Tribolium castaneum: one gene and its partners. The protein of the gene in region 2 purifies or fractionates together with the protein of the main gene of each other region. This does not show direct contact. Links are inferred from orthologs where the notes say so. Each region holds a gene or a part of one and is shown on either strand. Other genes may lie near its edges.

Region 1 (8,185 bases), on a different chromosome or scaffold from region 2:
ATAAAAAAAAAATCAAAGCCTCTACAAATTAGGTAACACTTGGATAACCAAACAACGTATCCACTGAAGGAAAGAACTCGGTTTTACCTAGCAATCTTACCTGTTTGTAAATAAAAAACAGGTGTAATGCACGTTAGGTGGTTCTAACATCCAAGGTAAACCCAGGTTTGCGCTATTTTAACTTCACTACACTAGTCCACAAGAACATTCCACGGTTTGAAGAGCAGTTTTGTTTAAATGTTTATTGATAGAGTGGATAACAATAAAGGAAATACAAGTTCGTCGGTGTCCACATACACTCACCTGCTGCTATGTGGAAACGGACTGAAGAATCTGAAGTGGGAAGAATTTGACGGTGATGATGGGGAGCTTGCGCACAGAGTGTTTCACCTGTGTTTGAACAATCAGCGACACTCAAACGGTTGTGTGGGTGGACAAATATTTGGAAGATCGTGTTTGTGTGAACTGATAAGATTTTTATCACAAAACTTTTGATTTTAATTTGTGAACTGATATGAAATGATATGTATTGAGACTTAGAACAAATAAGTGCATTAAAGAATCAAAATGCTATCTATCTATTAATTATTATTAATTAAATTATTATTAATATAATAATAATAATAATAATAATAATAATAATAATTTTTTCGGCGCATCCACCAAAAGTGAACACCCTTTACCGGTTATACAAATAAAACTGCATTGTTTATTTAGGGTACTTGGACTTATGAAATAAAGAAAAAATATAATTGGTTTATTAGATAGTTGCAAATAATAAAGTGGGGCTGTTTACTTTTGGTGGATGCGCCGGAAAAATTATTATTATTATTATTATTATTATTATTATTATTATTATTATTATTATTATTATTATTATTATTATTATTATTATTACGTATTAGTCATAATAAACAAATGTACGTTTAAAAACTCTATTTATATCCTACCATATTATTTATATAAATTTTTATTTTTGTGATTTATTTCATCATCCGACTACAGCCATAAGTAACAAGCACTTTTATGGATACCACGAAATAAGTTTGCAGATGGATTTAAATACCTATACACTGGGGTTTTACGATAATTGGATGGAAACAAAGAAAAAGTGAATATTTGAAACTTTTTTGCTCTACATGCTTACAATTAAAAATTCGTAAAACTATAATAAATTTTGTTGTAATTAATTATTGTGTCGTAATTCACAACCACGACTAAACAATTCGGTGAATGGAGTAGCGAATACACATACTGAAAATTAATAATATAGTAATAATAAAAAATAGTGAAACAACAATAGTTATGACATGAAAGAGAACAAATTATCTCGACAAATTGTTATTAAATAAAGATAAAAATTTCCTTCACATTTTTAATTTAATTACTTGTTTAATCGCAACAACTTTTGAATATGAAATTTTGTTTTATACTTAGAAAAAATCTTTAAAACTAACACAAAATTTGCAATAGTCTAATAGTATTCCAATAAGTTATACATCTAAAACAATTTACAAAATATTTTTTTAGAATTAGATCAGTACACGTTATTAAAAAAAATCAGATTACTGTGCTAATAAACAATAAAAGAGACTTTTGTATTCAAATGGTTTACTTTATGGTTTAAATTTATTTAATAGATAAACAATAATGTTACGAGAAAAGAAAAAAGACGTTCAGATTTATGGTTGTAAAATCGTCTAATTACGAAAAAAAATTTAGGTAATTTAAATAATGATCATAACAGCAGTTTTTTCTGCTTGTTTGTGTGATGTATGTGATCGCAGGAGGTCATTGCTCCACCTTTCCCAAAATTATGTATACAAACTTTCGTTTCGATTGATAAAATCGTGAATAATTTTATTAAATTAGTTCCTTAATTTTTGGAGGAAACCACTTTGTAGTTAGGTTTATGATGCTTGTAAATTACTAGTATTTTCATGCATCACAATACTATAATCACTTCTGAGTCACATCACGTGTAAATGTAATGTTACTTGTTTTTTCACATACCTACGATTATTACTTGAAGCTGTTAACTTTGGCTTTACAAATTTTAAAGTTTCTCATGGGTTTTCTCAAGCATAGCAAACGGAAATCCTTAGTGTAGTGCGTCCTTAAGTTGCTACAAGTGTTATATAAATTAAGTATCATATAACGACATCGACATCCGTCCGTTGTAATGGAAATAAGGGTCACTCTCGACTGAAAATAGCAACCACTCAAAAGCCCTCCGGGTGAAATCTGACCCGTGAAGGGTGACAAGTTCGGTTGCATTTGTGTTTGCCTTCAGATTTTTTAATGTTATTTTCCTTTATTTGAACTATATTTTAGTTGCGATTTGTATTTTTTGCGGAATATCGTATGAATTGGCAAGAGTAGACTGTATCCTGCAGGCTAATCATCTTCTGTTACCAACAGCATTATTTAGTGATTTATTATTTAGTCAATCTGCACTAATTCGGTTTGAAAACTATACCTAGTAGTTTTACTTTCATTTTTGTACTGTGATTATTCTGTTAAATATTGTCCTACGCTCATACTTTTGTGTATTATTGGTTGTCTACACAATCTACGATTGTTGCTTATTTTCATGATATAATAAACAATAATACATTGATACATTCATTTAGTTATTACTGATTACTAATTCCACTTACGGAATCTAAAAAAAATAACAATTGAACACGTATTTGGTTTGTGTGCAAATTATATCTATAATACCTACACCACATAGAGGAAAGTAAAGAAAGCAATACAATTAAACAAATTTGTACTTTTCATCCATCACTGGAACATGAATATTTGATTTAAGTACTAATTGTTACAATTATTTTAGTGAGATTTTTATCAACAATAATAAAATTACCTACCTAATATATTGAGATGATTTTGATTTTATGAGAAAAATTTGTTTAGCTTTATGCAAGATGAAATTTTATAATAATCCAAGTTAGAGGTGCGAACAAAATATGAAGAAACCTTTGGTTTGCGTACATTTCTTGGTTTACTTGTTTTTTTATTAAAATAAAAATTCCTCCATTTATTTAGAACAATCTACTTTTGAAATTGCATCGCCTAAGTGACTTTCAAAGTAAATGCACGTTTGCTTCTTCAAATCAATAGTAATTAATTATAGTTAATAACGGATGGTGCCGACCCGTCCTGATTTCTTATGCATATCCGTACTTCCACCGTCATTTCTGACTGGTGAGTAGAAATTGATATAAATTATCGCATAATAACGTTTACTTACCTTTGAGTTTTCTCAAGGAATACTTTCTTTCTTGAATTTTCTGACGGCGTCGTATGGCACGAACACCGGAACAAAATTCCTTGAACGACAGCGTTCCATATCCGTTTGGATCCAGCTCATCAAGAATATTGTTTATTTCCTGCGACAATGTACTGTCTTACTTATATAACATGATTGAGAAATTGATTGTGCAATGGCTAAACTACCAATAATCACATTTCTCAAGTGTGTTGTTTTTTGTGATTTTCGGTAAATCACTGAAGCATTGATTCGAATTTTGCACGTAGGAAACGGCAACAAGTTCATAAAATATTCGAACATATCGCAATTTCCTGTGACAAAACTACTATCTCGCTCATTATCGAAATGTTGAACCCCTACCCTATGTTTATTGGTTTACATTCCGTAAATTCTACCAACTGGAAACTGTTCTGTAGTTCACCGGATGTTAATGTAATATGAAGTAAGCACACATCGTGAATCACTGATTTGCTTACAGGCACTCAATTTGAATTTCTCTTTTCGAAGAACGTTGAAGATTTTTTCATTATTTAACAAAGTAAAAGAGCAATCAAAAACGTATTAAAGCATTTTTTTATAATTACTGTCGTGCCACAGAAATTACTAAGACAACTAGACTTAAATAATTACTCTAGATCAAGGTCACTATCTACAATTAAAAAATATTTTGACTTCTTCAACCTGGTTGTGAAAATAAATAAATGATTTTTTATGTTTTGCTAATACCTGACGGTGGTCCGTCTGTGGTGTGAAACTGTGAGCAAGTTCTTGTAAATAATCTATTTTAATCCTGCCAGTCCTGTCGGGATCACACAACCGAAAAACTGTCATTAAATCTTTCACTGACAACACCTTGTTTTGTTCACTAAACATTATTATCCATTTTTTGAGTCTTTGTTTAACAATTTAACAGTCACTGAAGAGTTATTGGTATAAAAAAGAATCATCGCGATTGAAAATAATATTTTGAGCGCGCGGAAGCGACTCAGTCCGTGTTCCACTAGGTACAGTATGGTACTACCTATAAAAGTGTACGTTTTCCGCACTGAAGGTGTTTCCGGGCTTCATAATTACAGATGTCCTTGTTTTAAATATAGTAAATAAAATTACAGCAAATAAAAGTAACTGTGGAAATAAAAAGATTGCGTGGAAAATTATTGCCTACGAGAAAATTAAATACTTAACTGGAGTTATTATCACCAGCTAAATTGCTTGCAATTGACATTAATGCTGTTCCAATTTATTTTTAATATTTTTCACAATTGTTTGTTGCTGAACATTGACATGGAAATGTGCTTTCGTGCTGGTTGCCATTTTTGTGCCAATAAAATTTATGGCTTAATCGATAAAACTTTTTGCTCGTACTCTTAAGAAATGTCAAGAGAAAATTACTCTTATAAATTTTCATCATGATTTGTAATTTATTGTAGTCGTTCTTTTCACTTTTAATGAAAACCATTGGAAAAATTAAAACAATTAAACGCTACTTTCTGTTTGGGCAAAATTCGTGTTAATTAAACAGCACTATTTCACGCCGTTGATGTGGAATTTGATCAAAATATACTCTTTTTCCGAGTTTCACCTTGAATTTAGTTTTTTTAGTTAATTGTACCTTACGAGGTTTATAAGATCATTTGTTTGTAACTCACACATCAGAGCAGCTAATGATGCTTTAAACCGCAACTGAATATTTGAATATCTTAACAGGTGTATTGTTGGTGTGTTTTCTTTTTAAGCAATGTAGTGATTAGAAAAGTTCACTGACTTAAAAGTTATGTTTATTGTTTACTAAATTAGACTATATTGGAAAAAATATTTTGTCAATAAATCATTAAAAAATAGGGGGAAAGTGTGGAAATTAATCAGAAGTATAATACTTTATGGTTTGTTAGTTTTTATGTACTACCTACCTTAAACTGGGCTAAAAAATATGTATGCACATTAGCAACATGTTTATTTTTATTTGAAAGTTTAAGAAATGTTGATACGCCCCATAAACATGAAATACGGTTTCGGTTTCATCAATAATTGTTGTTTCAGTAATTTTTGATCATAATTTTTGTGCTTATTGTAAATAATTATGAAAAAATATTTAATATTTCGTAAATTTTATATAACATATACGCTATTAACATGTATAAAAAATTGTGGAACTAAGTTGTTTTATGTTTTATAAATATTTTTTAAATTGTATTGGAATAGAAAACTATCAAGGGCTGAATAACTTTGAACAGATAATCAATAGATGGCACCAGGTAACAAAGATAACGTAAAAATTAATTTAAATTCTCGTTTTGAAATGAATTACAATTATTGTTTTTTGTAGTCTTGTTTAGAATTTATTTAATCAAATAAATAAATTACAGAAGTGTCCAAAATAAGTATTAGATGTTTGAAAGGATTATAATTTAGTATTTGAGTGAGAAATTGAAAAAATCAATTTTATGTCCACATTTTATAAATTCATGGACGCATGTTTGCATTTTTTTGTTACAGACGTTTTTCATTGTAAATATTTCGTGTTGGGAATTTTTCAAGTTGACCCTTTGATGTATTTTTAATGACACTTGAGTCGAGTGTTCCGACCGTCTTTTGTGTAAAATTTAAATTAGAATAGAAAAATTAAATATTTTTATTGTTACTAACGACGACGTTAATGGAAGTTGCCTACTTTTTCAACATGAACATGCAAATGACTTACAATGTCGTGTTTATAAAGTAAAGCAGAGTAAGATTTTATTCCAACACTGTCTCTGTTAGTAGCTATTTGATTACAATTCACTAAAATATAGACAAAATTTAACACATTATAAATTAATAAGATAAAAAAGATATATCCGTAGTTTAAGGCACGTCCAAACTGTATAAACTAAGCTAAGCTAATTTGATTCGCGTGACGTTTTTGGGGAAAATTACGTGTGTGGGTGAATTATTTATAAAAAAGTTGTTTTATTAAAAAAAAATTAGCTTAAGGTTTAATGAAAATAAAATAAAATTTATTATTACACCAAATTTTTTTGAATCTGTCTTCTCGCATTAAATATTTAAAGTTTCGTGACGACCTTGTCTAATTTTATTTCTGGGAAAAGTTACGGTTTAAAAAGGGAATTCTGTTATATAATTTTTAGGGCTTTTCAGAAATGTCACATCTTACTGCAAAACGCCAAAGTTAAATCAAAAGGCAAAAAATTGTATTAATAACATTAAATTTATTAGAATGGACTGATTCTTATTATAAAATCATTTATGTGTTAATTGTTTGTTGTTTCTACAAAATTATAGAGCAAGTTATTCAATACTATGTATATTATAATATCTATTATGCAAAGCTTACCAAGCTTTTCTCTAAGAAGGTTTTTTATAGTTTGCTTTTATTTTTTCCCTAATTTTTTTGTACTATTTTTTTTTGAATTCAGAACAAAATTTATTTGCTGAAACGATTTTCAGCAGACTTCGTATTATTCTAGTTTCAGCAAAAATCGATCAAATTTATTAAGCACAACTATAACTCATTTGGTCTTAAGTGCTTAAGTCTTAAATATTTAATACATTTTTTGTAAAATTTTGAAATATCCTTTAGTTTTAATCTTGAAAAACAATTATCTTTTTACCGTTTTTTAAGAAGACGCACTAATTATTTTTTCAGGAAATGAATAGTTTAAACAGAAACGCTTGGTTTTGTACTGTTTGTTCATACTGTTTCTTTGCTGTGGAGTGGACCATCATTTTGTTAAAGTCTTCAAAGTTCTAAATTTAAAATAAAGTTCTTTGTACATGTCCATCTCTTTTTGGCTGAATTGAATTTATTATCGGCGTGGTGAATCAAAGGAATCCGTCAGTCCCACTAGTGCCCTACTCCCGTCTGCAGCCGCAGCCACTCCTGGGCTTCCTGATCTTAATCCGAAACCGGGCCACCTCTCCAGGTGAAGTTTGCGCACGCCTCCAGCCCCGTCCTCCGGCGTCGCGGCGCCTGGCCGTTGTTCTCGCTTCGGGGGTGGCGTTCGTGAAGTGGCGTCATCTGTGAGGCGTCGCAGAGAGCGTCAGAAGGGCGCGACTGTGGTGGCAGGAGCCCTCAGTGTGTCCCGGCCGGCTATTGATTGCAGGAGCGCGCAGTGCTGAGCCACAGCCCGTGTGGTACCTGTCCTGTGTCCCGTGTGTTCACTTGGGGCGTCACCACATACACAAGAGTGACACCAGAGCCGTGCGGTGATCGAGTTGTGGTGCGTGTTGTGCGAGATGTGAGGCCAGCTCAGGCTCAGGACCGGCGCCGGAGGACGGGGGCCCCACGCACCGCCGTGTTGCAGGTAACGCATTAACGATCTGGCCCACGTTGCCCCCTTATCTGGGTCATTCCGGCGCTAATTGTGCGGCTGCACGCGCGCTACGCTCGCCGCCGACCGCTTCCAGCCTCCGGAGCGGAAAAGGGGCGATCCGGAGCGTGGTCCGGAGAGGCACACGGCCGACTCGGTGCTTGTTGGCGTTGGAACAAGAAAAGTGGAGATAAGGCGCTGTGACACCGATTGCCAAACGGATCACTTTCAGTCTTACGCTTCACTTTCTTCGCCTCAAATCGAGGGCTACGATTCCAGGGATAACTTTATTAGCCTTTCTGGCGTGTTGTAATGACGAAAAGTGGACCGGGATTTGGAAATTTAAGAAAGTACCGGGCCATGGTCCGGTTACGCCCTTACTCTGTACTCTACTTAATTTTATTTCTAATTTTGGGGGTATTCTGAAATACGCACGACACAGTATTGCTTTAGTTTTAACGTAAAAAATGCAACAAATACAAATATCTCATTTTGGTAAATACCTATAATCATTTTTCCAAACAAACTAGAAAATGTGCTTTTTTGCATTTTTGCATTTTGCATTTTGCATTTGTTGAGCCTAGAGGATTTCAATTCA
Region 2 (8,160 bases):
GCAGAATTCTAGAACAAGAGAAATTAAACCCAAAACTCGACTAGTTAACCCTCACCTGTGTAGGGCTAGTGTAGTACACTACTGACAGCACTGCTTGCGCACACCATCCGTGTTCATCGTTGGTTTTACGTCTATTGGTTCCACGTTATGTGGTCGAATAACGTCGCCTTCGGGAGGATCTCTGATTTGTTTCTGTGATACGATTCGGTAGATTTCTGTGAGTATGTTCTGGAAAGCCAAATCGACGTTGGTCGAATCAAGAGCTGACGTTTCTATGAATGAGAGGCCGTTTCTTTCGGCGAAAGCTTTCGCCTCCTCGGTTAGGACGGCGCGTAGATGCCTTAAATCCGATTTATTGCCAACCAACATGATCACGATGTTTTGGTCCGCGTGGTCCCGGAGCTCACGCAACCAACGCTCCACATTTTCGTAAGTCAAATGCTTAGCAATGTCGTAGACTAACAGAGCACCGACGGCCCCTCTGTAATACGCCGCTGTGATGGCACGGTATCTTTCCTGTCCTGCCGTATCCCAGATTTGTGCCTTTATTGTTTTACCATCGACCTGCAAACAGCCACAGTTTGCTTACATCTTTCAAGACATGGGTTAAAATTAGATTCATGTCGGTCGTTTCCGACACTCGTAAAAATGCCACCATCAACAGTTACGAATATGGAAAATTATGCATAGTCGGGCGGTTTTGTCAAGGTGCTATTGCAAAAATTCATTGAAATAAATTGTGCTTAAGTATCATTGTCACAACAGTTGATAATTTTAAAATAATACGTTTCACAAGTTGCAATAAACGGTGTTTAAAGCATTTAAAATTTAACAACAAATAGAACAAATTCGATCTCTTTAAAAGTAACAACTTAAGCATACAAGTGTCAGTTGGCACAAAATTACAAGCGAAAAATCATTAAAAAAAGTTTAATTTTTTGAAAAAAAAAGTCACATTTTTTATATTTTCATATTTTAAACAAGTGCTTTCGGTTTTTCTCCTGTGTAAGAAAGTTTTGACAACTGTTTGGCATTTCTGAATACGAAACGTCAGATTTTTTTTAACAGATTTAAAGCAATTTTTAACGATCTTAAGTCTAATTTGAAAAATAAAATGTTGTATTCAACTCCTTTTCGTGTGAATCGGGTCATGTATTTCACCTCGTGAATGATAAACCACTCGTTTTAACTCGTGGTTTGATTATCTACTCGTGAAATAAAACGTCCAATTTACACTTAAACTCGTTAAATAATAGTGTATTAGTATATAATAGTATATTATGATACGAAAAGTATATAACGATTCGCACGCACGTATTTATTTATTATTTCTAAACGGTGGTTTAATCCAAAAACCATTCCGTTAGCACAATTCAACAAAATGGAGCTCAGTAAGAAGACCCAAGCCCAAATTTAACCTCATCTAAAGGCATTTTATCAAAAAAATACAAGTTGTCGGCCTTAAAGATATAAACAGCACAATAGTAAAAAACTCAAGACGGAATTAGAAAACTTGAAACCTAACAAAAAAACTGGAAGATAGACAATGCAGGCTGAAATAAAAATCACAAAGAATCAGTTACAATTTAATTTCTATTATGTAATGCGAATTTGCATTTTTTAACATTAATGTAAATTATAATCTTGAAAGGAATTCGGCTGCATTTATTATTAATGTATCAAAATACTCTCTTGTTCGATATACCTGACGCCGAATACAATACTCATAAATTCTAGCACCTCAGAATAATCATCTTCAGCAAGGTCAAAATTTAAATTCATCGTAATTCTTGCTTTATTACTCACAATAATTGAAATAATGTTTTTACTTTTCTTGTAAAATGTTATCTAATATTATATTTTTCTTACTTGCGATGTGACAGATGATTCCAAACAAACACAAATTAATCACAATTTGATAAATTTGACGAAGGCATCAAATTATGTGGGCCAATAGTCTCCTTATAAGATAAAAAATAAAGATATAACTGCAACATTGCAGAAAAATTGTATGAATGTGATAAAGATAAATTGTTACAATCTAAAGAGAATTCAATTTTCCTATTTTATTGCAACTAACTGTAATAAGCAAACATACTATGCCCGATATACTTACGAAGGTTTTGATAAAAACTTATGTAATTAATAATAATTTTTAAAGTAAAATAAAATAACGCGACGCCACATTTTTACCGTAATTGACAGTTTTTTATAACTTAACAATAAATGTCGTTAAGAAAGCTTTAATAGTTATACTTCACTTTTTTAATAGGTATTCAATGTTACACAAAATCATTATGTAACAAACTCAACAACCGAGGAAAAACTGATGCATCTCTGAGAATTGAATTATTAGATGTTACAGACATTTTTTTCTGTTTCCTGTCAGTTGATAGGATAAAATAAAGGTGATACGAGTTTAAATATTTTTTCTCACATAAAATAACGTATAAGTTAATTATATCGTAAATTATCTTTAACAACTTAGATGATGGTTCATAAGAAGAGTAAAAGCTTCTGAAGAATCTTTAATAGCGATAATACATTAAAATTTCTTCAATTATTCTTTTTTTTCACTTAGTAAGTGTATATGCAACAAATTTCAATTCAAACTTAATGACATCAAGCAAATAAATAAACACATACGGTTTTCCATAATTTTTTATTCAAAGATTCTTAAATGTTAGATCATTCAGTGTAACTCCACCCATTTAATTATTGAATAATAAATAAAAGATCGACAAGAGCAAACTTTTATTTTCATACAACGTATGCGAAACGATTGTTTTTTTGTTGATACATGTTTTTATAATAAAGAAAACTCTGAAGAGACAAAACCTTATTAAAGTTTTAAACAAAATAGATGGTCAGTGAAGTGTATTTTTTATTTAGAGTCAAGTTATGGTTCAACCTCGCAAAACTCTTAAAAAATCGATTGCACTATATTTCGTTTACAAGAGTTCCAAAACTGTTTGTATGTTGACGTTTGATGGCGGTCAATATCCTTAGGGCTGAGCCGCAAATTTATTTCTCATGACAAGTGGAGGGTCATTTTATTTCCTTGTAAATAAATGTTCGAAAACATGTTTTGGGTAGTCTGAACTTCTGCTAGACAGTTTTAATCTACCACTGCCTATTTACTAACCATTATATTTGTGTCTTCAAACAGGCTACATTAATCAATAATAAAATTATGTGATAAATGGTTCACAAAACAAACTGTTTTTTGTAAAACGAGGAAGTCTTCAACGTTCAGGAAAGCAATCACAGTGAAATATTAATCAATAATGGTTAAAAATATTCACGAAAAGTTGAATGTTGTATGGAATCATTTAATTACGAAATTACGTCTGGAACACGAACGATATTTCACCCATCACCTTAAATTACGTATTTCTGGTGAACGAAAAAAATCACCAATTTCTTTATTAAATTTTCCACATTAACTTAATCAAGCGTGACGTCATGTACAGAAACGAATAGGAGCACAAATTACCATTAAATTGTAGCCAAACTGGGGCATGTTTTCCGAATAGCACTTTAGATAATATCAAAATTTTGTTACCCAATTGGCAACGATAAAAAAATGGATGAATCACAGACACGGGATCGACTTTCCTTTGTCATACTCATTAGTGGCAACATTTTCATTGTTGCTGTAATGAGTGTAGCAAAAACAGTTGTAATCTTTCATAGTTCGCACATAAGTTCAGTGTTAAAATGAGCTGTTCTGGATATTATGCTCAATTTTGCGTTTCTACAACACTTACTTAACCCAGATTTCCGATTTAAAAAAATATAATGCAAATTAGGTGACTGATATGTGTACCATGGGATGTCAACTTTCACAACCCAGTGGGTCAACAATGACACAACGGTGCATTAAGATAATGGGATATCTTCGCCAGCTGATTATGACGTCTTTCACAAGACTGAAAGAGCGGAAAATAATGTCTCTTGAGTTGTTTATGCATCCACTTACACCCACCCGCATTTGTCAGAATCTGATAATATGAGTAAGAGATTTGAGCAAGTGGGACTATGATATTTACGGAAATTCGAGTCGTGACTAAATAAGATGCAGTAACCTTTTGTGTTATTGGTGTTCGACTCACCTGCATGCTACGAGTCGCGAATTCCACTCCTATTGTCGATTTTGATTCCAAATTAAATTCATTCCTAGTAAATCTAGACAACAGATTGCTTTTTCCTACCCCGGAGTCTCCAATGAGGACAACTGCAAAGGAAGCGGCACGTAAACATTTGCATTTTGAACCGTTCTGTCAGGTACGGTTTAAAAGCCAAAATCATTGATTATTCTAATTGAAGTTGTTCGTGACCGGTGCACAGGGGGCATGAAGGGGGCCCCTGATGCCGCTCTAATTGATTATTTTTGAGTAAGGACTTGGAAAAGTTGACCTCTGACATTGCTGACTTGTCACACGGGAACAAAATTTACGTCAAGTGTCAATTACCTCCAAGGTCCGCAACGTCAAAGTGCGATAACAAGGGCCCCAATTGGACGCTTACCTTTGAACAAATAATCGTATTCATCGTCCTTCGAACTCATTTTCTGTCCCTTCAGCTGATCTGCACCCTCTCCAAAATGTACCAAAATAAAAACACACAGACAATTAGTGCATATCACAAATATACCGCTATTTACACTCCACTGTTTATATCACAGACACATTTCAAACGATAAGTTTTGGTTTCGGTCAGGGATGTTTTATATAACTTTGGTAAGATCTTTACGATTTTATAGCGAACAAAATGGCGACCCACTCTTCTTTTATTGTTCGCAGATTAGAACGCCCCTTTGAACTGTCAGATTTTCGATTGTTTGCGCATGCGCGTGCACTGCCACATTGCCCATCAACGCAGTGGCGTAGCCCAAGGTTGGAAATCAGAGACGGGATGTTTCCAAAAATATATAATTATTTACACACATTTACACTATGTAGGCACTCAAATCATAATTTCCTAAGTGCATACGCTTTTACTATTTTCTTGCATAATTAAGGAACAACATTATGACCTATAAACAACATTTAAATCAATAATATATTTAAACGATAAAAAAATTCCAATAGACTAGAAAAATTATATGCTAAATTAATCCATACTTAAGCTAGGAGGGTGTTACAAATTAATTTTAGAATGAGGGGAAATGTAATAAATATTTAACTAAGCATTAAGTTATGAGCGTATCATTAAAACTAATTGTAACACAGCATTTTTTTTCTGAGAAAAAAATTAAACATTATGCTCTTACAAAACTATTTTGATTTACTGCAAGATTATTAAATAATGCTTTTATTCTTTTTAGTTAAAAAAGGCAGTGCTTGTTAATTTTCCTTGCTCTCTTCAACTAATTCACAATTTTTCCATCTAACAACTTAACAAAAACCCCGCAAGTGGTTAGTTAGTACCTTTAGACCGACCATTACACTTCGACGATATAATTATATTTACAAATCCCTAGAGTATTGTACATAATATACAATAATAATTTATTGTTGCATACAACTGACTGTCCATAAAAACATTTCAAAACTGCTCAGTCACAGTGACAACACCTCAACGATTCCAATTGTTTTTAATTAAATGCCAGTTGACGCCGTAGAGACCGTGAAATGACAGAATGACCGCGATGGTGGGGGTGCGCAAACAATCTATGAATTTATTTTGTTACAAAACAATAAATAACAATTTTTTATTCTTGTGTAATAGAACAAGATGTAACTTTTTGTACCTATTGTATTGCTACGACTGAATATATGGACGAATAGTAGGAAGTATCAATTTAAATAGTTAATTGCTACGCCACTGCGCACTAGCCCCGCCTATCGAGGTCTTTCTTCGCGTTCCAGGCCTCTAAAGCTCGACATAAATGCAATAGAACAACCACTCCAACAAGTCAGAAATAATTTTTATAGACATTCAGTGGATATCACATTTAACGTATGAATAAGAATTAGCACCATTTCTTCAATTTTTAAATAATTTACACGCTATACAATTTTTTAATTCAAATAGCGAATTGTACTATAGAATCTTTCAGTTCTTACCAAAGTATGAAAATTTGAGCTTTCCTATAAAAAGTAGAACAAGGCAGCTATTTTAAGGCTTTGGTTGCAAAACAAGCCCCGCCCCCGTTACGCCACACTTCAAAAGCGTGCCGTAACGAAAGCGGCGCTAAACCATCATTAAATAAGGCCTAGGAGTCCTTATTTGAACTAACCAGACACGAGAGCAAAAACACAATCTTGCGTACAAATTCCAGTTGGCAAGAGCAAAAACCGAGCGAAAATCCATGTTCCGAGGGTCCATCTCGGAACATTTCCAAGAAGATTACACATACACAGAGCCTTGATTGTCATTATCGTCTAGACTGATTTTATTAAAAGCGGGACCACCTCCGTCATCGAAAAAACGCCTGAATGTGAATTCGAAAAAGCCGTGAAACGGCTTAGAACTATCGGTCAGTTCGTCGGAAGTGCTCGAATCGATCGAAGCCGAATTTCGTAACTTGTCGGGATCGATCGGATCGAAATTTGACGTATCTGTGGGGTATTCGATTCGAGGTATGTGCGGGGCCGGCTGGCGACGCAAACCTCGGTCGAAATCGATGTCTTTGAAGAACGGATGCGACTTCACTTCACTAGCATTTTTACCTAAGCGTTTGTCCGCACTACAACACAATTTTAATATCAAGTCAGTACTTTCCTTGGAAAGATTCGCTTGCTTTGGTATTTGCAACGTCGTCTCCCAGTTTATCACCTAAAATCAACAAACATCGTCAGATTTCAACGCCACTCCTGATCAATACGGCTTTGAGATTAAGGCAATATATCTGAATTACGTGCATTTCTAATTGAATAATTTATCGAAGAAATAGTATACAATAAGAAAATTAATTTATAAAACATTTTACGAAGCCATGTAGCTTTAAAACAAAAAAAACATTAAACATGACAAATATTCTTTCAGTTTTTTCAACAGTGACATAGAACCTACATGAAACTTATTTTGGTTTTAAAAGTACTTTTAAACATAAATGTAATATCTGTGAGGTATAGTAATAAGGATCTTCACTAGGATATTGAAAAAGAAAATAATCACAATAACGACAGGACTAAAAAAAGATATACGTGGAAGTTAAAAATTAAAATTGGAAAAATGTATGTGTTATTAAAAAAACAAATGACCCCTACTTATAGATTTCAAAAATCAAGAATTTCAAAAATACTTCATCTTCAATGCAAGCAGCATTATTTTAGATAGATATCTAAAACAGAAATAATATAAAATAAAATAGACAATAGACATGCACATACGATTTTAAAACACGTATCGTAAGTGGCTACAAAAAAATTCGTAGAATGAGACCACATGAACTTAATTAATGTATTCAAAAAAAGTAAATGCAGAACTCACGAACTCACAAAATTAAAGAGTTCAAATAAGGACGGATCCAGAGGCATCCTAGAGGGTATGGCCCCAAAACTTCAGTTTTCATTGTTTTTATAAATTTTAATAAATATAAAGTGTAATGAACAATTTTTTTTTTTAAATTAATAACATTAGAAGTCATTATAATGCACATTTATTAACTATTTATTACTAATAAATAAATTATTATTACTTAAGAAAATATTATAGGAAGATTCTCGAAATCCAAAACAAGGAAGTATTTTATGTTTAAAAGTTCTTTTTATGTCCAGAAATTTTTATTATTCAAACTTACTTAAACACCCTTAGGTAAACATATTCTGTTGTATTTTTTATATTTTTAAAATGTTTTTTTGACAAGTATTTCAAAATTTAATAGTAAAAAACAACATTCTGATTAACAACCATGTATATCTAAAAATGCATAAAATATAAGGTGTTTTCATTAAAAAAAAAGAAAATTGAATTGTATCATTTTTTGTATAAAAAATGTTTTGAGCTTTTTTTTTCAAATTCATTAAATATTTTAACATACCGACCGTAAAGTTTCATTTAATAGCATGTCTAAAAATTTTTGGAAGTCCCCCCAAAATAAATTTCTGGATTCGCCCCTAAGTAAATATTTTTTGTAGCAAAACAATTTTTTTCATTTCCATTAGGTATACTGGGAATTACCAATAATTTTTGCAATAAGTTATTGTTTCT
Region 3 (8,074 bases), on a different chromosome or scaffold from region 2:
TTTCAAATTTTTCGTAACATTTTAAGATTCGCGATATAGAAAGTAAAATCCCTATGAATACAATGGACCAAATTACAGAGTCTAGACGTTTTTGTGACATTTTATTTCTTTTAATTTTAATTGCTAATAATTTATTTTGAAGCGGTGGATTTTTACAGGGCGAATTTTTGTCACCTAATAGATAGTTTAAAATGGAGAAAGTCGACGACTTTTTTTAACTTTTGGCAGTTAGGTTGGTAGAAATAGTAAAAATGTGAAAAAATTAGTTCAAAGCTCGCAATTTAATATCGTTTTCACATGCATCGGCATGGATCGTTATAAAAAATTGTTTATTTTAATTAGTACGGTAAGTACGCTGTTTTTTATTCTACTTAATTTCCCAACCTTGATTTTAGTTCACGTGGGTGCAGCCAGTTTACTTTTAATAATAATTCTTTTACTCACTGACAGCGTATCTGATTTTACCTTTAGCCTTTTGGGTTTTAATAGTAGGACGAATAAATACAACTCGTACTAGGTACACGTAGGTTTTTCGATTTAAATTTTAATCAGTTATTTTTTCAAATTGCGTGAATTTGAAGCGACAAAATAAGTCATGCTCTGAATTGTAGTTTGTAGTATTCTTGCGGTTTCTCTGAAGACTCGCAACTTTGTAAATTGTTTGGGTTTTTCCTTCAAAACAAAGGAAACGGTCTTATTAGAATGTCACTTAAGACGTGAGAGGCCTTCTTGTAGTCACTGTTTCATAAGCTCGCAAATAGAAAAAGCATTGTTTGTTTTAATTAGTTGTTGTAATATAACGTCCAAACAAACCCCCACATTGCAGACGTAAAAATCAATATCAACAAACACTCGGTCAATATGCCTTCAGTTATGTGGGTCAATTTTCAATGAAAATAAATTAATAATAAAATTGTGTATGCAACATTGTTTATTTTAAAGTAGCCGTTAAAATCAACAAAGAATCACGGTATATTTATTTTTGTAGTAAACAGAAACTGTTTTTGTAGGTTTGCAAAAATACTGGCACAGATTCGCTAAATTCCATTTAATTAATAAATTCATTACGTATTCACGGACAGAAAAAATCCATTCATGCATATTTGTGTCAGGCAATTAGCACTTTTCCTCGTAACATAACGGTTTTAACAACTCACCATAAATAGGAAGATCATCGTAGGGATTAATTGCCACCAAAACAATCCCACAATAGGTGTAAATGTATCGATTTTGGCAGAACCGTACTTGTAAATTGTAAAGTACGGCGGGCTCGTGTAAGTAGGAGAGGGATGTAAGGTCATTTTCCCCGACTAAAATTGAAGGGTTCCTCAGACAGGGTAAATCCGATTCTGATTTGATCGTAAGGGTTTTCTTTTCGTTGTTTTCTGTTACTACTTCAAGTGACTTTTTGTTCGTTTTGTAGTCTTCTTCAAGTTCAGCGCCTTCCCATACTTTTTCAGGGTGAGGTATCCATACCTTGGCACCCTGAAATTAACACAATAATGTGATGATAAGCTCTAGACAAGATAAATGTTTATGAAGGAATGATTATCGAATGAATCATGGCAAAAATGGGTCTTTGACATCGAAACGGATGCTATCAATCGCCACTGTCAAGCCCTACATTTCGTTATTCCGCCGCAAATTGCATGAAAATGTTCCGTTCGAGCGACAATAATTCAATGTTCTTGAATGCTAAATTGGAAAAACAAACGAGATTACGTTTTACGGAATTTGTTTGAACTTTAGACGGCCAAGTTTGAGGACATAACGGTATTGTAACGAAATGTGTGCTTTCGTCATTGGAAATGTATGAAAGTAAAAAAATGTTTACCAGAGATAACTACAAAAGTGTGACCAAGCCTTAAATTTGCTATCGAGCAAAATAGATATTGCAAAAATAAAAAAGTTCCGTACATGGAAGTGATTTTTACAGTGTTCAACTTTCGATCATGATTTTTATAAAAGTCGCCGCACTCCCAACTGTTCAAAATAACAATATAACCAGTTGTTGGAAGTAATAGGTCGTACTTTCACTCTCAGATTCAGTTTGGTTAATTGGATTGTTATATAGTGCAGTCGGGAAAAAATTAAAAGCTTCATTTGCATGTTCAGTGAGACGAAAATGGCAACGGCAACATTTGTGGCATACCACACACAGGAAACAATAAATTTATGATCTTTTGTTTTTTGTAACAGGAGCAGAATTAATTTTTGTTACGTATTTTCATAATAAATCAATAGAAAATCGGTAACACCTTTTATGCTAAACCAAGGTTAATCGTAACTTAATCTCTAATTTATGAATTGGCGTAATGTTACTTTAGTAAATAAAAAAAAATTGGTGTATTTGCATCCCACGCCTAAATATCATATGTCCATTCAAGCGAAATTGTTTGGATTGTTTTTTCAATGATTATTACCTAAATTTATGGCACCAATTAATTTTCATAATACGCCGTATCCGTTATTGTTTCCACTACATGAATATGTTTCTGATTATTCAAATTAGAAACTAAAATTTGGGTATCTTCTGACTATGGGAAAACGATTTAATTTATCACATTATCATAAGCACTGCGGAAATCAACCCACTCTGACACAAATATTCAAATCCACTTAATTTTTGTCTAATCGCATAGCATAATTTTGATTTATTTTTGCAGTAACCAATAATAAACTTCACCGAAATGTCTCTAGATCCATTAAATTGGTGATAAAAAATCGAATTAAAGTTTAATTAATTTTTCGGAGCGTTAAAAGAGTGTTTACGATGTGAAGAAGACGTAATTATAACTAACGATGATCAAATTATTGATTTAGGTTTAATTGGAGCAATGAGGCCAATATGCCAGTTTTTGTAACTAAGTAGAATTAGATTATTGGAACCAATTAATTAATGAAACGTTACCATTCACTGCATGCATGAGAAAATTCCAAGATCTCAGATCACTCTCACTTTATTGCTGGCAACATCAATGGTCGTGGGTAATTTGAAAAAATGGTTACCTTGGAATAGGGTTAATTTATAGTTTCAAGTTTATCAGGTGTATTAAAGTGAAGTCTTTTTATGAGCTTCAAAAGGTAGTTTAATTATTTTACATCGTTATCGTTTACTTTATTTATATTTTATCAAAAAGTAACTAATTTGTTAAACAAACAGAAGTCTATTTAAGAAACAGCGCATCTTGCTGTAGTGTCACCATTTTATTTTCAAAAAAATAAATTGCAAAGTAATCTATGCCAATTTTACATTACTGTGAAGTATAGTTAGAAATTTATTAGTATTAATTTTTATCAGTTAGAAAACAAAGAGAAATTTTGTCAACGTTTAAGCTTTAAATACACATTCATTCTGATTTATTGTGTTTCAAAATTTCCAAGTAATGCAAAGTAATAAGTAACAGCAATTAATAAATAATTACAACAAATAACTACATCTGATTTTCTCCCTTTTGTGATTTTAAATATTGTTAGGTTGGTTATTATTAGACTAGCAACATCGATCCAAAGGACTAGGACAACAAACTCAGTAGTAACTTCTGACTAAAGATTCTAAAAAAGAAAAGATTGTAATAATTCTATTCTGTAATAATTTTTATGGCATTTAAAAGACCACGTTGAGCCACGTTTCTAATAACCCGCGTTTGAATCAAAAACAATTCGCGATTTTTGTTGAATGCAAAACAAAAGCAGCAATATGTTAGCGATATTTTTCGCGAAAAGAATAATTAACAAAGGTTGAAATAGTAATGTTTCTTATCACTCTTATCATTCCTGTCTATCTTTTGGAAATATCCTCAAACATATTTATTGTAATGGTAACAATCGATCCAAAGGACTAGGACAACAAACTCAGTAGTAACTCTTCATTCAGGATTCTAAAAGGAACAATAGATTCTAGTATTATAGCACTTGATCGCGTAACAATAATAGGTTTCATGGCATTTAAAGGACCGGTTTTGGGCCACGTTTCTGACTCGCGCGTCTGTAAAAACTCCTTATCATGTTACCTGCAAGGTTTTTCGCGATTTTTTAACAAAGATAAATGCGACACGAAATTTTTACCTTTGTATATAGCTCCAAGGTAGTCATTTTGCACCGTTTTCACTGATCTTGTTCATAAATCATCAAAAAAAAAGTAATCAAACGAATAATCCGGAGCCAGCACAACCCGCCAACAAATAGAAAACCCTCTCGTGTATTATAATGGTAGTAAAACACACAACCTGCACCTACACGGCGCACCATGCGCACTAATCACTGCGTGGCTTATTTCGATCACTAGGAGTCATGTGTAAAAGTATGGATTTGGCGATTTGGCGCTCAAAAGAATTGCTAGCGCCCTCTGGGGATCACTAGGAATGAATTCCGGTTAGGTACGGGTGGATGCTACCGGAGTCGAGCCAGACGTGCTCGCAGGTGATGGTAGAGGGCGGCACTTACTTCACCGGAGTTTCCAATGAAAAATATTATTATTTATGGAATTTAATGATGAGCTGCGATGAATTTCCGAAGATTGTTTAATTTTTTAATTACAGAGTATGAAAATGTGCTGTTTTATTGTTTAAGAAAGTTGAAAATCAGGAATATTTACTTTTTGACTACATCAGGACTAATCAGATTCAAAAATGTTCTCTCACTCTAATGTCGTATTCTCACTTGCACACATTTCAAGAATCTCACAGTTACTTCTTTTATTGGATGTGAATTCGTCTAATCTACATGATTGTCTTTATTTATTTTAAAGTTTCTTTCACACATTATGTTGCAGCCTCATTTTGAGCTATTTTAACAAAAAACTTTTTTTCTGAGACCTGTATAGTACTACGAAATACAGTGGAATACGAAATACGACCTGCCTTCTCTGTAAACGTTTTTTTTCTGTATACAAAATTTTTTTTTCTAAATTAAACGCTGAGATTGAACCTCAACGTCTGTTAAATATACTGAGCTCTCTTATTATCTTATTCATCTATTTTTTTAATGAAATAGATGCAACTTTATTTTGTTCCTGAAATGAGTACCAAAACCGAATTTTAATAGAATTAATTGATCTTTATAAAAATGATAGTTAATTTTTGTCGTTTTTGCATTTCAAATAATTAAAAACTGATTCCTTTTTTTGCGGTACGTGTATTTTGTAAAATAGTTGACTGTACTCCTACTTGTACAATGCTACACTAAAATATGGTTAATTTTTGATTTCAAGATCGAAATGTCTACTCATTTGCATTATACATGACTGAAAATTTAAATGTAGATCCCTCTCTTGATTTTTTTCTATAAAACAAAGTAACGTTTTTTCACTCTTCACCGCTAAAGTTCGTAGAAGTCGTGTCATGTTTTAACGGAAATTTTCTGACAGGTCAAAGGTCGATGGCGTATGCCTAATTTTTTATCCTTGTTCTCACCGGAGGGCCAATTAGCATTTATTTATTAATCTTCCGATAATCTTAAACTTTGACTTTTAATATTAATCTCTTATTTTTTTAAATTATTGGGCATGAGAAATGCTTAAATGCCCCTCATTTGACTTGAGCAGCTTTAGCTTATCAATATGTGGGAAAAATGTCAAAATGCTTCCACAAGTAGCACTGTTGTTTTTTTTTCTATGCATAGATTAAAGCTACCAAAAATTGGCGAACATTCCGTTAGAAAAATCTTCATACGAATGAATACATTAGAAACTGGTTATTTTGAAAAAATCTAGCCCCAGGAAAATTTTGCATTTTTTAAGTGTCATGCTAAAGTTTAGGCCTATAATTTCTAAATTACCTCTTCACGAAACGTTAATCATATGCCATCCACGTAGCCGGGTCGAATATTAAAGTAATAAATCAAAATTATTTTAATAATAACCAGCCTCAGGCGTTTCAATTCCATACCCATCTTCGATTTTTGATTATCTTTAATCAGTTAATTATAAGTCTTAGTCCGCAGAAACCGTGTAAATACGGTACAATTCTCTAATTAGCGGTACCCATTAGTCCACACAATTATAATTTTAGCACTCAAGAATCTGGCGATTGTTATTATAATAATTCTTTCATTCACTAGTGCAAAAAAGTATAGAGCCGTTGAACTCGTAACAAATTGTTAGCATTCATCTATCCACGCGGATTTTATTACCATTCAAACCTATTATAATCGCAAATTGATTTGTTATACTGACAAATAAAAGTAGGGTGTAAATGTTACTTCTGGACCAGGATATTTGGCGCCTTAATAACAGGACTAAGAAAAATAAAAAGCTATTTCAGGTATTTTGAAGTTTTTTTAGGGTGCTCTTGAAGTAATCTCGTAAGATTTTGGGTGATTTTCAACGGTTTTGTCGTGTGATCTTTTTCAGGAAATTAGCTAAATTTTTAGGATTCAATCCTGTATTTAATAAAGCGCCAAATGTACTCGTCCAGTGGTAAGATTTTACATCCTAATAATAATTGTTAGTATATTTATGACAGAAAATTATACATTAAAAAAATTCTCATCAGGTGTGTGATTTTATGCTAATGGTTTTTTGTTAAAAAAATTAATAGCGTTTGTGGGGTCCGATAAGCCAATGTAACGGTAAGCATATCCAGTTTTTAATTTGGTATTGTGCCTTGGGCAATTTTGGGAAGATGCGAGTTTGTTTTAACGATTTCCTTTCATATTTGGACAAATCTCTCCAACTAATTAATCAGCGAAATTGCGGACACGCTAAAGAGATAATTTTCCGTCTTAACGTTAAACAGAAGCAGTTGCAATAATTGCACTGATTACAGCGTGTGCTTCACATCCGCTAAAAACAAATGTTAACTGTATGCACTAATAAGTGTAATTTTTCGAGTTGTTTTGTAATTATAAAGTGGCGGATGCATTCCCATTTTCAGTTTCGTTACCGCGCTTTGCGTGCTTCTTTACACGACTGAAGCGATCTCCCACTTAACTGTAATTTTTTAACCAGTTTTTACGGTATAATCGGATGCATCAGACAATTTGTTCAAAATAAATAAACGATAAAGTAACAAAATAAATCAATAATAATTATAATGCGGAGAGATCTTAACATACGATGCGGAACGGTACTTAATTATTTTATTTTCTTCGTGATGGTAATAGGCAATATTTAAGAAAACCGCGTCAGCAATGATGGTATTTATGTAAATGTTTTGTAATTATTTTAACGGTAAGAGAAATTCTCCAAAATCGCGATTGGAAATGTGACGAAACGTTAAATTTTTAATTAAGCGAGATTTCTTCAAAAATGTACGAGAAATGTGATCACGGATCCTAAAAAAACTCGATGGACTGTAATACGTTCAGATTAAATCCAGCCGGATCTGTCACAGTATTAATTTACTGTTCACCGTACGCTCCTGGAACGGCTAACGTTGCTGTAACCGGATATGGGGAAATTTTTCAGCGCTATTTATCTCGTCCTGAGCTTGAAGATTTACCTTTAGAATATGTTTCTATACGTAATCCTTTGTACCTTAATCTCTTATTGTCAAAACGGCGTTTCATTCTGTTTATTTTCACCGGTATCTCTCGATAATTCCACGATTCTCGGATACCTCAACATAAACAAGAAATTCATGACCGCTTAACTTTACGGTGACATACCATCATTAGATGTTATTTGTTCGAAACGTTACATTGCAAGAAGGAATTTGACCTGAAAAGTGTGCTCGATGCTGTTTGGTATTGTTTTCAGATGCTAATTTTTATTTCAATTACTGATTAGAGTGACACTTTTGAATAAACAGAAATAAAGGTTGGTATTGTGTTAATTAAAAGAGAAATAAAGACCAATATTGACACCTGATTGTAATTGTTCTTCTTTCACTGAGAACAGGAATTCTCGGAAATTAATTATTGAACAAATAAGGATTTTGCGAGTTAACGTGACGATCAACTTTTTGTACGAAAATAACGTTAATAATTCATGCTTGATTGCTTGAAATTTTCCTAATTTACTTTTGACGGACAAATAATCCTGTTACAGAAAAATTCCGTTGTGTAATAAAATTCTGGAGGAATTGAGACGTATTGGAAAACACTTAAGAGTTTAAATTTTTATGCTTTTTTC

Evidence for each region.
Region 1: the proteins of Rab11 (region 2) and nuf purify together in Drosophila melanogaster (affinity purification with western blotting; 5 studies listed by BioGRID, with this or other methods). This does not show direct contact. The link is inferred for Tribolium castaneum from reciprocal best matches to the Drosophila melanogaster genes Rab11 and nuf.
Region 3: the proteins of Rab11 (region 2) and didum purify together in Drosophila melanogaster (affinity purification with western blotting; 4 studies listed by BioGRID, with this or other methods). This does not show direct contact. The link is inferred for Tribolium castaneum from reciprocal best matches to the Drosophila melanogaster genes Rab11 and didum.

The regions. Positions count from the first base shown.
Region 1 is NC_087394.1:30,315,079-30,323,263, forward strand, and holds the start of nuf (rab11 family-interacting protein 4A), read right to left. Parts: upstream 4,265-8,185; 5' UTR 4,151-4,264; coding exon 4,004-4,150; intron 3,619-4,003; exon of another isoform or gene 3,517-3,618; intron 3,396-3,516; coding exon 3,257-3,395; intron 336-3,256; exon of another isoform or gene 101-335; intron 1-100.
Region 2 is NC_087397.1:10,553,202-10,561,361, forward strand, and holds the start of Rab11 (ras-related protein Rab-11A), read right to left. Parts: upstream 4,807-8,160; 5' UTR 4,571-4,806; coding exon 4,531-4,570; intron 4,238-4,530; coding exon 4,116-4,237; intron 565-4,115; coding exon 79-564; 3' UTR 56-78; intron 9-55; 3' UTR 1-8. Other genes in the region: wts (serine/threonine-protein kinase Warts), read right to left, coding at 6,355-6,783.
Region 3 is NC_087396.1:13,112,283-13,120,356, reverse strand, and holds the start of didum (unconventional myosin-Va), read right to left. Parts: upstream 4,265-8,074; 5' UTR 4,096-4,264; coding exon 4,069-4,095; intron 1,486-4,068; coding exon 1,158-1,485; intron 1-1,157.